Linked DNA regions of Mytilus edulis. The protein of the gene in region 1 binds, or shares a complex with, the protein of each later gene. Links are inferred from orthologs where the notes say so. Each region holds a gene or a part of one and is shown on either strand. Other genes may lie near its edges.

Region 1 (7,189 bases):
ATTGAAAATTAATTTCCAATAACAACAACCAACCAACATCATACTTGTATTCTTCTAGTAGTCCGAGTTTGGTATAGTCCGAGTTAGGTATAGTCCGATTTTGGGAGGCCAATTATGTTATAGACCGAGTTTGTTATAGTCCGATTTTGTTATAGGCCGAGATATCATGGATTCAGCTAGTCCATCGATGTAAGGCGTCAAAGAAATCAAAGAGCTGAAAGCTCTGAAGAAAAATGACGCCACTGTCTCTAATATTGGGATAGTTTTTATGCAAGTCTTGATTTTCACATACCGTAATTAGTTTAACAATGCAACATGTCTCGTAAGCATATTATTGATATTCGTATATATATGTGTGTGTGTGAAGTGAAGGTGACAACTGGCTGTTTTTTAAGACAAATGAATAGGTCAAGACTACCTGAATTGTACAAATAAATACCGTAGAAAGGCTTGTATATTTCTCACTGGTACATAGTCTGAATCCGGTTCCGTTCGTGCCCACTCATGTTCGCCCCTTTCACTTTCATTCCCTACATGTTCGCACCCAATCTTAATTGGTTTTGTGTTTAATAACTCTGTAAGCAAGTGTTTTCTTATAAGTATAATTGTTGTCATTGTTTTTTTGTGTTGAATAAATCTTAATCATGTTTTAGATAGCGTATTGTTAAAAATTATAATAATCCTTTCTAAATAAAGTGGTATTTTGTCAACGTTTTATTTTGTGTTGAATAACTCTTAATCATGTTTTGGTTAGTGTATTGCTATAACTTTGTTTCATTGACTTCTTTCAAAATGAAGTGAGATTCTGACTATGTTTTTTTCTGTGTGTTGAATAGATTTTATCATGTTTTGGTTATAATAGTGGATTGCTATATTTTGGTTCCTATATTTTATTGTTTCGTTGTTTCAGATCAAAGGGACCAAGCTGTTAAAAACAATTATCTTTTGTGTTTTCCTTTAAAATCTTCAATGTTTTACTCATACCAAGCTATAAATACATTCAGTATTTACACCAAAGCAATTTAAAACAACAATCATGATTTTCCAATTATTCAACTTGAATTTGAATTAAAATTGGGCGCAAATGAGTAGAGTGCAAACGGACCTTCGGTGCGAACGTGCGAGGTGCGAACGTGTAGGGTGCGAAAGTGAATTGGACGCGAACAGACCTGGTACCACATAGTCTGAACCCCCTTCTCCCACAAAATATTAAGTAAATAATCTTTTTGTTACTGTTATCAAAGGTTTAATGAAACTCAGGTAATTTCAAACATTTGTCAAAGAATTCTAGTCAAACCGGCACCTGGTTAAATTGGCACCTGGACAAATCAGCACCTGGTTAAATCGACACCTGATATAGTCAATTTGTCACCCATATTAAATATAAATTTTAACAGTATTTTAAGCAAAAAGAGTAAAAATAAGTAAGGGGTTGCCAGGATTTTTTTCAGTATTTAAGCAAAAAGAGTTAAACATGTTAAATACTAACTTTCACATTTTTGGGTGTTCATGTACATTTTGTATATATTTATTTTTCTCAACTTAATGACTTTTTTGGTGTATTTTTAATGATATATATATGAGTAGTCAAAATAATTATTACGTCTGGCAAGGCTTTTTAAATTTTATTCTGGGACACCTTTCTATGACTGCAAGGCTATGTTTATTTTTTTCTGGGACGCCTTCCTACGAACTTCATAGGAAGACATCACAGAAAAAAAAATAGCCTTGCCAGACGTCATAATTATTTGGACTAATACATGAGATATTGGATATTTTTATGCATTATTTAAACCAGTTGAGCATTTTACAGGATTGTTTGTTTAATGCTTTTTAAACTTTACTGAAAAAAAACACCTTAAATTTGCTTATTATTTGGCATGAAAGTTTGATTTATTGAAAGGGACTCATAGTTTTCCATTTTATTTTAATAATTGTCTAATTGTTAAAACAACAGCTTGGGTAAGGGCTTCGTTGTTTACCTTTATACACAACAACATAGTTCACTTTGGTTTCGTTGTTTACCTAAATACACAACAACATATTCACTATGTACTTGGTAACAGTTATTAATTAATTGAATAGAAAATATTATAACAAATATTATTGGATGCCGAATTGACGTCAAATAGGTGCCGATTTGACTAGATGCCAATTTAACCAGGTGCCGACTTGACTTGTACGTTTCAATTCCTCTGCGATCGTTTGCGGTATTTTCTTGAGAAAAACCTATTTTCCATCATCAAAGAGAAGAAGAAACTGCTTGAAAATGATTCTGGAACGCTTCATGATTGTTAAAATAAGTTAAATTCACTCACTATGTTTTACAATTTTAAAACTTGCGATGTTTAAACAGGAAGTTTCAAAAGCATGTGTAAAAGAAGAAATTAACCGGTGAGAGTGGAAATCCGTACATAACAGATATCACTATAGTACGACTTTGAAAGCAAAACAGTTCCATCCTTTTGTAAAACAGTCTTTAATATACCTATCACATTAATGTTTGACGGGTCTTAAGCTTATTCAAACCATAAAAGTCGGTATGAAACACCAAAACGGAATGAACAATAACCGATTACGTTTTGTAGTTTACAAATTCTAAACTGGTTCCCGTCAAACTACAACACTTTGTTCGAGTGTAGTGGAATACAAGTAGAAACCAGTTAGTTTGTAAACTGGTTCCTGGCTGATTACTACACAATGACCTCTCATGCATAATGATAACACAAGCAAATTCCAGTTTGTATAGAAAATAGTAAATACGAAACCAAGCGCGGTAGGCAGAGAATGTAATGAAGTTCAGGTCGCCAGTAATGGAACAATGACTGCGTCATTTTCCAAAAAATTATAATAGCCTTTCAAGACGTCATAATTATTTGGACTAGGATTCAGCAGGATCATACACCAGTTTCACATTAATATTGATGAATCAAATATCAACCAACCCAGCTGTTTCACGTGACAATAATGTCTTACTTGTATTATACAATTGATGGAATGAACATCTTGAATACAAATTTGGTGTTATTAAGTTGTTTAACTTAATGTAAAAACCAAAACAAAGTGGCCGCAGGCTAAGACAAGGGAGGTAATTACGATAAAAATAAAACTCGGAACGTAACCGGAGAAGTTACGATAAAACGGAATTTGTTGATTGGTGGTGTTTCAGCCTCAGGTAATACTTCAGAAAAATAGTATTGTATTTCTAATCTACTATACTATGAAGCTTAGAATAATATATATATTTTTATCTTCTTTAAGTCGTTGGTTCTTCTTAATTTTAATTCTGTCTTGATTTACACTTCTATTCCTGAAGCTACACATGCTACATCATACATGTGCTATATATATATATATATATATAGCAGGTTAGTCCAAAAGGGTAATTCAGTATAAGTAAATTATTATGACGTCTTGGAAGGCTATTTTAATTTTTGCTTTGATGCCTTCCTGCGTTGATGTAAGGCATATTTGACAGAATTAAAGAGAAAAAATGTAATAGCCTTTCAAGACGTTATCATTATTTGGAGTACATTAGTACATTTAATCTATAATTCAGAGCTAACTGAATCTTCAAATTGCTCTGAACTCTTTAATTATTCTGCTTTTCTTTCAAATGTCTATTTCCTTTCTGTTGCTAGTAGCTATAGTGTCTGACAAACTATTTGGATGTTTTGAATCTCCAGCAGTCTTCATTATTCTCTTTTCTGGTGGTATCTTGTAAAATTAAAATGATTTATAAAATTGAGAATGGAATGGGGAATGTGTCAAAGAGACAACAACCCGACCATAGAGCAGACAACAGCAGAAGGTCACCAACAGGTCTTCAATGCAGCGAGAAATCCCTGCACCCGGAGGCGTCCTTCAGCTGGCCCCTAAACAAATATATATACTAGTTCAGTGATAATGAATGCCATACTAAACTCCAAATTGTAGACAAGAAACTAAAATTAAAAATAATACAAACTAACAAAGGCCAGAGGCTCCTGACTTGGGACAGGCGCAAAAATGTGGCGGGATAAAACATGTTTATGAGATTTCGACCCTCCCCTATACCTCTAGCCAATGCAAAAAAGTAAACGCATAACAATAGGCACATTAAAATTCAGTAGTCCGAAGTATAGGAAGTGTTCTGTGTCTTCCTCTTCACCACATTCCTATATGGTGTAAGGGATTGGCCTATCTGATGACAGTATTTATTATGTCTATTCACTCTATTGTATACTTTCACTTTGCCTGTTATAAATTTCGACATGATTCTCCCTATGGATTCTCATAATCAAGTGAATGGGTCTTACTCACAGTAGGAACTAGTTCATGTAGTTGTCTCCCAGTTTCACTTCTAGTCCATTTTTTTTTTGCCATGTCAGATGTATAAAATCTATACTTCAGTGAACTGCTCTTTAAGCATGTTAAGTCATGTAAGTGTGTAAATGTAGAGTTCAAAAACCAATAGGATAGCTACGAGTTACATGTAAGCTAAGAGTATTGTCACTATTTAGACTGCTAGCTACTGCATGGTTTAAGCTAGTTCCTTTATTCGGCTTTAACTCTAAATGAAGACTATTTCACATATTGTATATTTGTTTATCAAAAGTTTCTGTTGAGCATATCCGTTAATTATTAGTATAATTACATGCATCACAGTAAACCCATATTTGTTTTGCCTATCAAAAGTTCAACTGGAAACTTCATGGTGAACTTTGTTATAATTTAAACAATACTATATAATATACATATATTTCTATTCAGCTGTTTGAACAAATATCATGTCATCATTATTCCTGTAGGAAAAATACTGTAATATTTGTTCCAATGAAAATTATTTTACTGCTTAATATTTTTTTTTCCATTTGGAAATCTTGGAACTTATTTTATAAAGGAAATTCTATTTCATGATAGTACTTATGTATGAAACAAATAACCAACAGACACATACACATGTACAAGATAATCACCACAAAAAAGACTAGAGACCCACAAATATTAAAAAAACATACAAATACACAGGGGCGGATCCAGCCATTCCCTTACCAAAAAGTGCTAACATGTTGCACATAAGTTGCACATAAGATGCTCACGTTAGAAACTAACATGATTGCACACGAGTTTTTTAACATGCAAATTAGGTGAGCATTTTGTGAGCAAAAAAATTGCACATATGAAACTAACCTAATTTGCATGTTAAAAACCTCACGTGCAACTGCTCATATGAGCTTTTGTTTCACATGTGCATTTTATTAGATTGCTCATATGAGCAGTTGCTAACATGTTGCACACGTGAATATTATAGTTGACCAAAACAAAATGGCTGCTTTAAAAAATGAATATTTTTCAAATTTAAATGAAAATCTTAAATAATTCAGTTGAAAATAAAATAACTGATACATCATGTAAAAAGAGTTATTCTTTAATTATTGTCAGTTAATTATGATTTTCATATGATTTTTTTTTTTTATTTATTTAAACAATAATCATGATCATGACTAAAAACATAACATTACATTATAAAACTAATAGAGGGACTTGCAAGTTTAGTACACAATGAATATCTTTGATTAATAAGTACTGTATTTCAAAAAGTTTAAAAGGAAAAATCTTTATACATGTAGTACTTATTTTGAAGCAACCTGTATATATATTCCCATAAAGGACTTAAAATTGTAATATATTTCAAAATCTGACACAAAAATGAAAATAATGAAATAGAAATGATAACTTACAAAAATAATTAACCACAGCCACACTGGTTTTATCAGATTTCAACAATGCCTTTCTTCAAATAGCACAATATAGGACTTAACATTTTCCATATCCATCTACCTTCATTTATTGCATGCTTTTCATGAATTTGAATTTACAGGAAGTACATGACTGGGCATGTCATTTTGAAAAAGCTCATATGAGCAATGATGTAGGTTAGTTTTGAATGGTTAGAAGAATGGAAAAACTTTTCAAAGTACAAAACTAACATAAAACTAACATGGATGATAAAAGCTCACCTGAGGTTTGAATTGCACATGTGAGCATTATGTTAGATTTTTGTGGGCACATATGAACTACCAAACTGCACATATGATCAACCTGATTTGCATACAATTCTTATTTGCATCTCATGTGCTTCACATGTGAAACTTATGTGCTTTTGTTAGCAATTTCTGTACGGGTAATAAAAAGGGGGGTTTCCCATCCCAGAGTAAAGGGGGGTTCCAGCTATATGCTCCCATTCAAATGCATTGATCGGTAAAAAAAAAGGGGGGTTCCAACCCCCAGAACCCCCCCTCTGGATCCGCGCTTGAATACATCAGTTCTAAACAAAGTATAGATAACAGTATTTCTTTCCAAATATACACATAGTCATAAATACATGATTGATAACATGTATTAATAATTACCAAACATCATTTGTTTAACAGTAAAGATCTAGAATGACTTTTAATTGATAAGGAGGGTGAACAGACTCTGTAAGAAAATGATCCCTTGGTAACATGTGTCAAAGCTGTAAGCAAATATAGGCAACCATCATGACCATATGGCCTTAATAATTAATGAGAAAATCCTTACAAAATAGATGGCTACGAAATGCCCCTTCTTGAATAATATGTAATGTCGATTACAATTACAAAACTATTGACCTTATGTATAATAAACAATTATGAACAAAGATGACTGACATAAACCAACAACAACCACTGACCTACAGGCTCCTGACATGGGACAGTCTGACTGCATCATAAAGAAATACCGGTAAACGGGATTATGCATGTGAACGCTCAACTCTCCCCTTACCTGTTACAGTGGTGTAACAGCACAACATAAAAACAAACTATAAAAATGTGTGAAAATCAAGTAAATTTTGCAGGGCTGAAAAACTATCTAAAAGAAAATCTAATACTAGAAAAGATTATATTTTTTAAAACAATTTAAGCCTCTTTACATTGCCAACCTCTACTGGGACCCCTGGTTTCATTTTTTTGTTTTGTACACATCCCCTTCAGCCATGAATTGTACCATTTGATTATTTCAGTGAATCTTCAATCTTTCATATTGGTATTCATGCCATCAGTATTATAGTGACAGAAGAAAGGAAGATCCACTTTATCAATCCGATGAGATGAATCTTCTGCCTCAAAGCCACACAGAATTTCATTCTCCAGAGTACTGGGACAACTTCTTCAAAAAAAGAGGA
Region 2 (7,433 bases), on another chromosome or scaffold:
GATGAGGGAATTTTACTATTTGAAACTTGCTTACAACTGGTTTTTAAGTCTTGTAAATGAGTATGCTTTGTATAAATTTTACAAACTCACCAGCTGCAGCAATCAATTGCTTGTCTGGAGTGATTTCCAATGCATTTACTTGCTAGAAAACAAATTAAGGAAAAACACAGGCAGCTCAGAATTGTGCTGAATATATATGGCACATGATATATGATAATTTATCTATCGCTTCGAAAACTAGAGGATGTTTTTTTTCAGCTAAAATCACATAAAAAACCATTTTATTCAACTTTGACATTGTATGGTGTAAATCTTTGTTTATAAGAATACAAAAAATTTAACATAAAAAAATCATAATTGTACATGGTTTTGACAGATTGTTCAGGCAAGCTGTGGAAATAATTTTATTGAATAAGCGACTTCTACTGTGAAGTATTACATATGCATTGTGACATAGAAAATCTACAAGTTAATGCACAATTTGAATGTCATGAATGTTGTTCATGTACTCTGTGACTATTATTGTTGTTGTTACCATGGTTACCAATTATGTCAATCAATTGTACCTGATTTTATGTATACTGATTTTATGCACTTTATGGGCCATGTAATTTAGGAAATAAAAATATTCTATTCTATTTAATATATCTTGCCACCCTTATTAACATGAAAAGGGAAGGTTGAGGTGTGACCTCTATAACACAACTGGAACATAGCGCAGAGGTGATTGACCATTTTGACTACCTATAGTCTATTTGTTTAGACTATGATTCAACATCTAGTCTCTAATGGATGTTGGTTCATTAAATAGATGTTCAATTTGATGACATTATCAGGTTGTCAAATTCTAAATTCCAAATCTATCTAAATTCTAATTTAAAATCAAGGACTTTTTCTATATACATACATGTAGGCCAACCTAATTATGGTCTGTTTTCTGTTTTCAAATTATCTTCTAACCCTCCACTGAATCCTCATGACAATGAATGAAAATTATTTGTAAACAACAGAATAAGATGTTATTGCATAAAAAATTATCCTCAAAATTTAGTTTTCATAATGTTATCATCAATATTTTAATGCAAACAGTTCATGCTAATGTAATAGCTGACTTTTAGGCCTCAAGGAAAACTAAAGTCGCTTTGCTAGGGTTCATGATATTTATTAATCAGTAACGTAAAACACCCTGTAATAACAATGATAAAGTTATACTAATTTTACAGATCAAATAAAAATTAGTAATACACAGAGCTCCAGATAAGAATTCACAAATTGGGTTTTTTACCCACCATTTTCTTATATAATTGGGTGATAAAGTTTTTTAATTGCATTATCAATTCCAATTCACCCCTCATTTTAATATCAAATTGGGTTTTTCAACACCAAGCTTCTTAATGTATTGGGTTTTTTCATCAACACAATATTGAATATTTAGGCAATATCAACCCCAGATTTTTTTCCATCTTAAATATGTTTCTTTCTTTGTTTAGCTGTTTTATTTGGTTTAGGGTTTATAGGGTTATTTGCTAGCTGTTTTATTTGGTTTATTGACTGAGAAGCAATTGTAGGTTTAATTTGTGTTCCATTCCAAACCTTCTGCCAGTTTTGTATTTTCTCATATAAACTGTAAAAAAAACGGATATGTGTATTCACAGGCACTCGTCTTGTACCTTTATGTAATAAATTCTGAGACCAGTGCCTGTGTGTGTATATATTCATTATAAATTAACCGTAAAATGAAAAAAAAATAGTATATAAACTCTAATTATACTTGAATGTTTTTGTTTTATTCCAATTTTCATAAATCTGGGTTTAGTTGTCTTTTATTAGAACTTTTGGTTTCTGATGCTTTATCATGTTATATTAAATTGATTTGGCCTTTCATCTTTCCAACTGATTTCGTTTTTGAGGAAACCCTGCTTTTATTAGAAATGTTCTCGTTAAGGTACGCACACACGCCCGTGTGTTCGATGGACGCTTCCTAAAAACACTGGCTGAGTCTTGTTATCATCATAACTTTCCCTAAGCTTTTCAAAAGAAGCAGAAAATATGCTTCTATTCAATATTTTTACCGGACATTCACTTTTGTTTTAATTCAATGTATGTTATGATAAATCCCGAGCAATGCGAAAAAAATATGACTTCATGACACACGCTTATTGGATAAACGCCGAGAAGATCGAAATGTTTTCAAAAACACGTGTACCTATTGAGCAACGGAAAACTCTAACAGGGACCCATTTCAGCTACTTGATGCAGGGATCTATTTTTAGAACGAAAGGAAATTTCCAATTATAAATATTATAAAAATAGTTTACGCAACAGATAAGGGTAAATAACGCAAATGGTAGCCAATAAAAGGGTTGAGAACTCATGGTTTTGGAATATAATTGGGTTTTCCTTTGAATTAATTGGGTTATTGAACCCTGCAATGGACAATTGCATTGGGTTTTTTATTATTTGTATTGCGTGATCACGCAAATACGCAGCTTATCTGAAGCTCTGAATACACATGATAAGTATAATATTCTTTCATTACACATTTTGAAAATGATGTATTTCATCTGATCATGTGCCATGAACATCACATTAGACATAAATTTTCAAATTAAGAATCTGCTGCAGTAAAAAATGGCACTACATGTATTATCATTTTTACTATTCATACAATTACTCTGCATTAGGTTGTTATAACTTGTGTAAGTGTCCATATTTATGTTTATATTTGGTTATATGACCATTGGAAATCTTCAGAGGTCATCTAAATACTTGATCAGATGGGGTAACTGGTAAATAAATTATAACAGATTTTGTAGATGGATACAGAGTCTGGATGTTGCACAGTTCTCAGACAAATTCCACTGTAAGCCTGCCAAAATCTGACCGTGTGATCATATCCTGCAGTTGCCAGTATAATTGGATCATTATTTGTGTTTGATCCGTTCATTTTAAACCAAAAATAAAAGATGACAACATCTATTATTCAAGAAATCATCTTTTAAAATGTTGTCTCAAGCTGCCTTGCAAAATAAAGTTTAACCGGAAGTAAATAAATACTGTCAAACGCACTTGTTAGAAATATTTTGATTAGCGGTCTGGATTGTCTCGACGACTCTTATTGGTCATCTAATTTAACTAAAAACATGGCTTCCAACTTCAGTGGAGCCCTACAGCTAACAGATTTGAACGATTTTATCACACCTTCACAGGTTAAACATAATAATTTTGTAGTATAAACAGTTCGTTTGTTATGTAGACATGTTATTTTCCTTGATGCTAAAGACTTTTTAATTCTATGTTTCTTTGAGGGGTCAAAATTTAGTACGAATGACTTTTGGTGAAACAAGACATCTCGCCCCACTGCAAAAGCGCCCCATTCTTGTTCACCAACTCGCCCCACTTTTCTATCAAATCGCTCTACTATGGTTACCCCCCCCCCCTTAATATGAGGCAGGCATTACCTGTGAAGTATACATGCATTATTTTTTTAATTCAAACATGTAAAAAAAAAAAAGAGAAACAGAAATACCGTGACGTTTCCAATTTTGGTTTCTGTTATTAGCGATTTTATTTGTGACGTTATTTAAGTTATAACGTCATATTCCATGTTAACAAAGAAACGCTGTCATCATGTAACGTTTTTTCATATAAACAAACAATTTTTTAAAATGAATTAGTATTGAGTTCCTTTCTATATATTTTACTAGACTGATAAATATATATTTTATTCAAAGTCTCATGCAAACAAGACTGCAAAAGGAAGTAGATTTCTGTGCAGATGCGGGGATTAAAAAAAAGTCTGAAAAAAAGGTTAACGATTTCGAGTTCATTAGTAGAATGAAATATTTTAGAAATTTTCCCAATTTTTATTTTTTTTTATTCTTCTACCGTAAAAGGGGACTTTGTCCCCATACAAATGTTGCACAACATAATACCTGCCCTCTCGCCTTATTTTTTGAAAAAGGGTAAAATCATGATAATATAAATTTATAAAATGATAAAGGTCATTTATATTTCGGTCTTGCTGGTCAAAAGTCATTGATGATTTATGATCGTTCATTAGTGGAGTGAATTGGCAGACCTTTGTTCAACAGCAGTTAACCCTTTTCATAAGTGTTGTGAATTGCATCCCTATTAAAGTTAGCATAGATGTAAACAAGTTTTTTATATAGATTAGACTCAGACTGTTGGTTTTCCTGTTTAAATGGTTTTACACTAGTAATTTTGGGGCCCTTTGTAGCTTGTTGTTTGGTGTGAGCCAAGGCTCCCTGTTGAAGGTCGTACGTTGACCTATAATGGTTTACTTTTATAAATTGTTATTTGGATGGAGAGTTGTCTCATTGGCACTCATACCACTGTCTTCCTATATCAAGTTAAATAAGTACAGGATTTTTGCCATTCTAGCTTTATATTTATGCTCTAATATTTTCTATTAGACTTCGTCCTAGGTCAATATAATCTGAACAGGTACATATATACATGATATATAATGTATTGACCTTTTCAAAAGTCCATAATTGATAAATATGTGATGTGATGAAAAAAAATCAATTTCAAATTACTGGTACATGTATATCAATTAAACAGTTGCGTTCATTTATTTTTAATTTAAATTTATGTTTTTACCTCATTTATTCAAGGAATGTATCAAACCAGTTAAAATTGACAGAAAACCTGGTAAAGTTGGTAAAATAAGAATTGAAGATGATGGTTCTTATCTGTCTGTTAATGATGAAGGACAAGAGACCAGACTAGAGAAGGCAAAGATCACATTGAATGACTGTTTGGCTTGTAGTGGGTGTATAACATCAGCAGAGAGTGTACTTATAACTCAACAAAGTCAAGAGGAACTTTATAAAGTACTCAAAGAAAATTTGAGATTGCAGGAGGTAAACATATTATTTTGCCTGAAGCTAATATTTAAAGAAGTTAATACTGCTAATCTAGCTTGTTTTAGTATAAAGATGAATATTTTAGAAGGTAAATGATCTGTATGATTGGTATTTTGAATACAGATGCTTTGTTACCTGAACATTAGGTCAAGGACTACTGATCATTATATACATTTTTTACATATTCAAATTTGTCTAGTCCTTGACCTTGTTTCAATGGATTAATGACAGCACAAAAATCTATCGTTTTTTAGTCTAATTTCCAGTTAATACAAGTAATCTAGGTCATGATATATTGTATGCAGATTTATTTCAAAACACACATGCTGATTAAAGGCTCACCTGTCTACAGCTATATGTAAGTGATCAACATTAAGAGTTCATGATAAGGTCAGTTTCTCAGATACTATAAGTTAACGGTCAATTGTGTGATAGTTTATGGAATGATTGTTTAAACTGTTAAAACACTGTATAACACAAACAATGGGATACATGTATAACTCCAGTCTTTCATATGAGAATCAAAAGTTAGGTTATCTTCTTTTGAAATACTTGTATTTTGAAAAAATAATAAAAGTGTAATGTGCTTAAAATGATTTAATACACATTGCAATATTTGAATTAATATATACCGCGGTAGGTATTATGATGATATATTGCATTTCAAATGTATTATTATTTTTAAGATTATCTCCCTTTAAAACATTTGTATATTTTTGATATTGAAGAAGTGTAAAAAAAAGAGGCTAAAAAATTATTAGCAAGACACATTGCATGCAATATTTCAAGAAAGATTTGATATATTTAGCAGTAAAAATGCCATTTTTACATCATTTGCATATTAAAGAAACTCCATTCTTTCAAAGACAAATCTTTTCTTACCTTAAGATGGCAAATAGTTGTAATTCTTTTTTTATAAGAATCACTGCTAAAAAAAATCATATGTTTTAATGAAACAAATAAAAAATCCACCACTGTGTACTAAAACCAAATTTTATGATTAAGTGTACAGTGTGATCTACATGACTACATGTAGCTATGGGACTGATTTCTGATTTGTGCAGACATTTATCTCTATCCAAAAACATCACTAGTTTTTGCTTTTACACGTTGGTGATTATATGATATTTGTATGACATCTTTATTTTAGACTGGACAAGCTGAGCAGCAGAAGTTAGTAGTTGTGTCAATAGCTCCCCAGTGTAGAGCCTCATTAGCTGCCAAGTATAAACTATCTGTACAAGAAACTGCTGCCAAACTGACAGGATTCTTCAAGAAAATAGGTAATTATCTATAAATTATAAATCTTTTTCTTCACAAGAAAAAATGAATTGAGACAAGCAAATTTAACAAAGGACAGCTCCAAACCCTTGTTTGGTAATGAAATTTTAGGAATATAATAATATGATTAAAATTCCCAAAACAAATTTGAATTTAGTACCCAATAACATGATGCAAGTTTTAATGGGTTTTGCTAAAATAAATACCATACAAGTGTCCAAATTTTATTTAGGGGTCATTTGAAATAAAACAATTCTCTTTACAACAGGTGGGTTTTGCAACTGTACACTTAGTTGAACAATATTTAGGCAATGAATGATTATCTGCTAGGAAAGTTTAATAAAATTGAAAACATGCATTCAGAGTAGTCTGTTTATTCCAGCACATGTACACAGAAATTATCAACTTGTTCAACAAAGAAAAAAATATGGTTTTGTGTACAACATTGTGTATGCTGCAAATGTGTTAATTTTCAATGTTTTGTTAATTTATATTTTCAGGTGTACATTATGTTTTTGATACCACATTTTCCAGGAACTTCAGTTTGTTAGAGAGTTGCAGAGAATTTGTACAAAGATATAAGGAATCAGAAACAAACAAAACAGCTTTACCAATGTTGTCATCAGCTTGTCCAGGTTTATATCATCTAAGTTAAAATTCAAAATAAGACACAATGTATATTATCATCGATTAATAGTAAGATTCACCAGTGGTATCATTTGGCTCACCGGTGTACACATTATGTCATCATGAAAAAATAGTATATTATACTTTCATATCATTAAAAAATATATTGAAAATTAAATATAACATTCCATTTAGAATGTCTTATCAATGATACCAACTACAATCATTGACAATACTAACAGACGAATACTGCTGTCCATTGTTAATAATCAGATTATCCATAAGGATGGGAAGAATGACATGTTCTTTAAACAACATGTAAATTTTAATAGTACATTTTCATGTACAATTTATATGAAATTATAAATATATTTTTGTGAAAACTTCAGGTTGGATTTGCTATGCAGAGAAAACACATGGACATTACATCCTACCCTACATTAGTACAACTAAATCTCCTCAGCAGATAATGGGTTCTCTAGTCAAGGATTACATGGCAACCAGTAGAGGGGTACCAGCCAACCTGATCTATCATGTGACAGTCATGCCATGCTTTGATAAGAAACTAGAAGCATCAAGATCAGATTTCTACAATGACATCTATAGTACAAGAGATGTAGATTGTGTCATAAC

What was found.
Region 2: the proteins of target of rapamycin complex 2 subunit MAPKAP1-like (region 1) and target of rapamycin complex subunit lst8-like are in contact, whole or in part, in a cryo-EM structure (PDB 7PE8), measured with the Homo sapiens proteins. The link is inferred for Mytilus edulis from reciprocal best matches to the Homo sapiens genes MAPKAP1 and MLST8. Residues at the interface, in NP_001006618.1 of Homo sapiens: Lys102, Cys103, Lys104, Asn105, Ile106, Gln107, Trp108, Lys109, Arg111, Asn112, Ser113, Lys121, Leu123, Phe124, Glu125, Lys126, Lys127, Ser128, Leu129, Gly137, Lys138, Gln139, Ser140, Ile141, Leu142, Val144, Arg145, Leu146; in NP_001186102.1 of Homo sapiens: Ala29, His30, Pro77, Ile78, Ile79, Ser80, Tyr81, Asp82, Gly83, Arg98, Arg110, Ile111, Trp112, Gln120, Cys121, Gln122, Arg123, Ile124, Asn139, Gln140, Ala141, Leu157, Lys158, Ile203, Glu206, Ser279, Gly280, Asp281, Gln283, Asp322.

The regions. Positions count from the first base shown.
Region 1 is NC_092345.1:75,930,047-75,937,235, reverse strand, and holds the start of target of rapamycin complex 2 subunit MAPKAP1-like, read right to left. Parts: upstream 3,111-7,189; 5' UTR 2,977-3,110; intron 1-2,976. Other genes in the region: eEF1A lysine and N-terminal methyltransferase-like, read left to right, coding at 7,115-7,189. UniProt on the Homo sapiens protein: Component of the mechanistic target of rapamycin complex 2 (mTORC2), which transduces signals from growth factors to pathways involved in proliferation, cytoskeletal organization, lipogenesis and anabolic output.
Region 2 is NC_092352.1:37,093,561-37,100,993, forward strand, and holds the start of target of rapamycin complex subunit lst8-like, read right to left. Parts: upstream 3,063-7,433; 5' UTR 2,948-3,062; coding exon 2,825-2,947; intron 143-2,824; coding exon 91-142; intron 1-90. Other genes in the region: cytosolic Fe-S cluster assembly factor narfl-like, read left to right, coding at 3,144-3,209, 4,641-4,889, 6,043-6,175, 6,674-6,808, 7,190-7,433.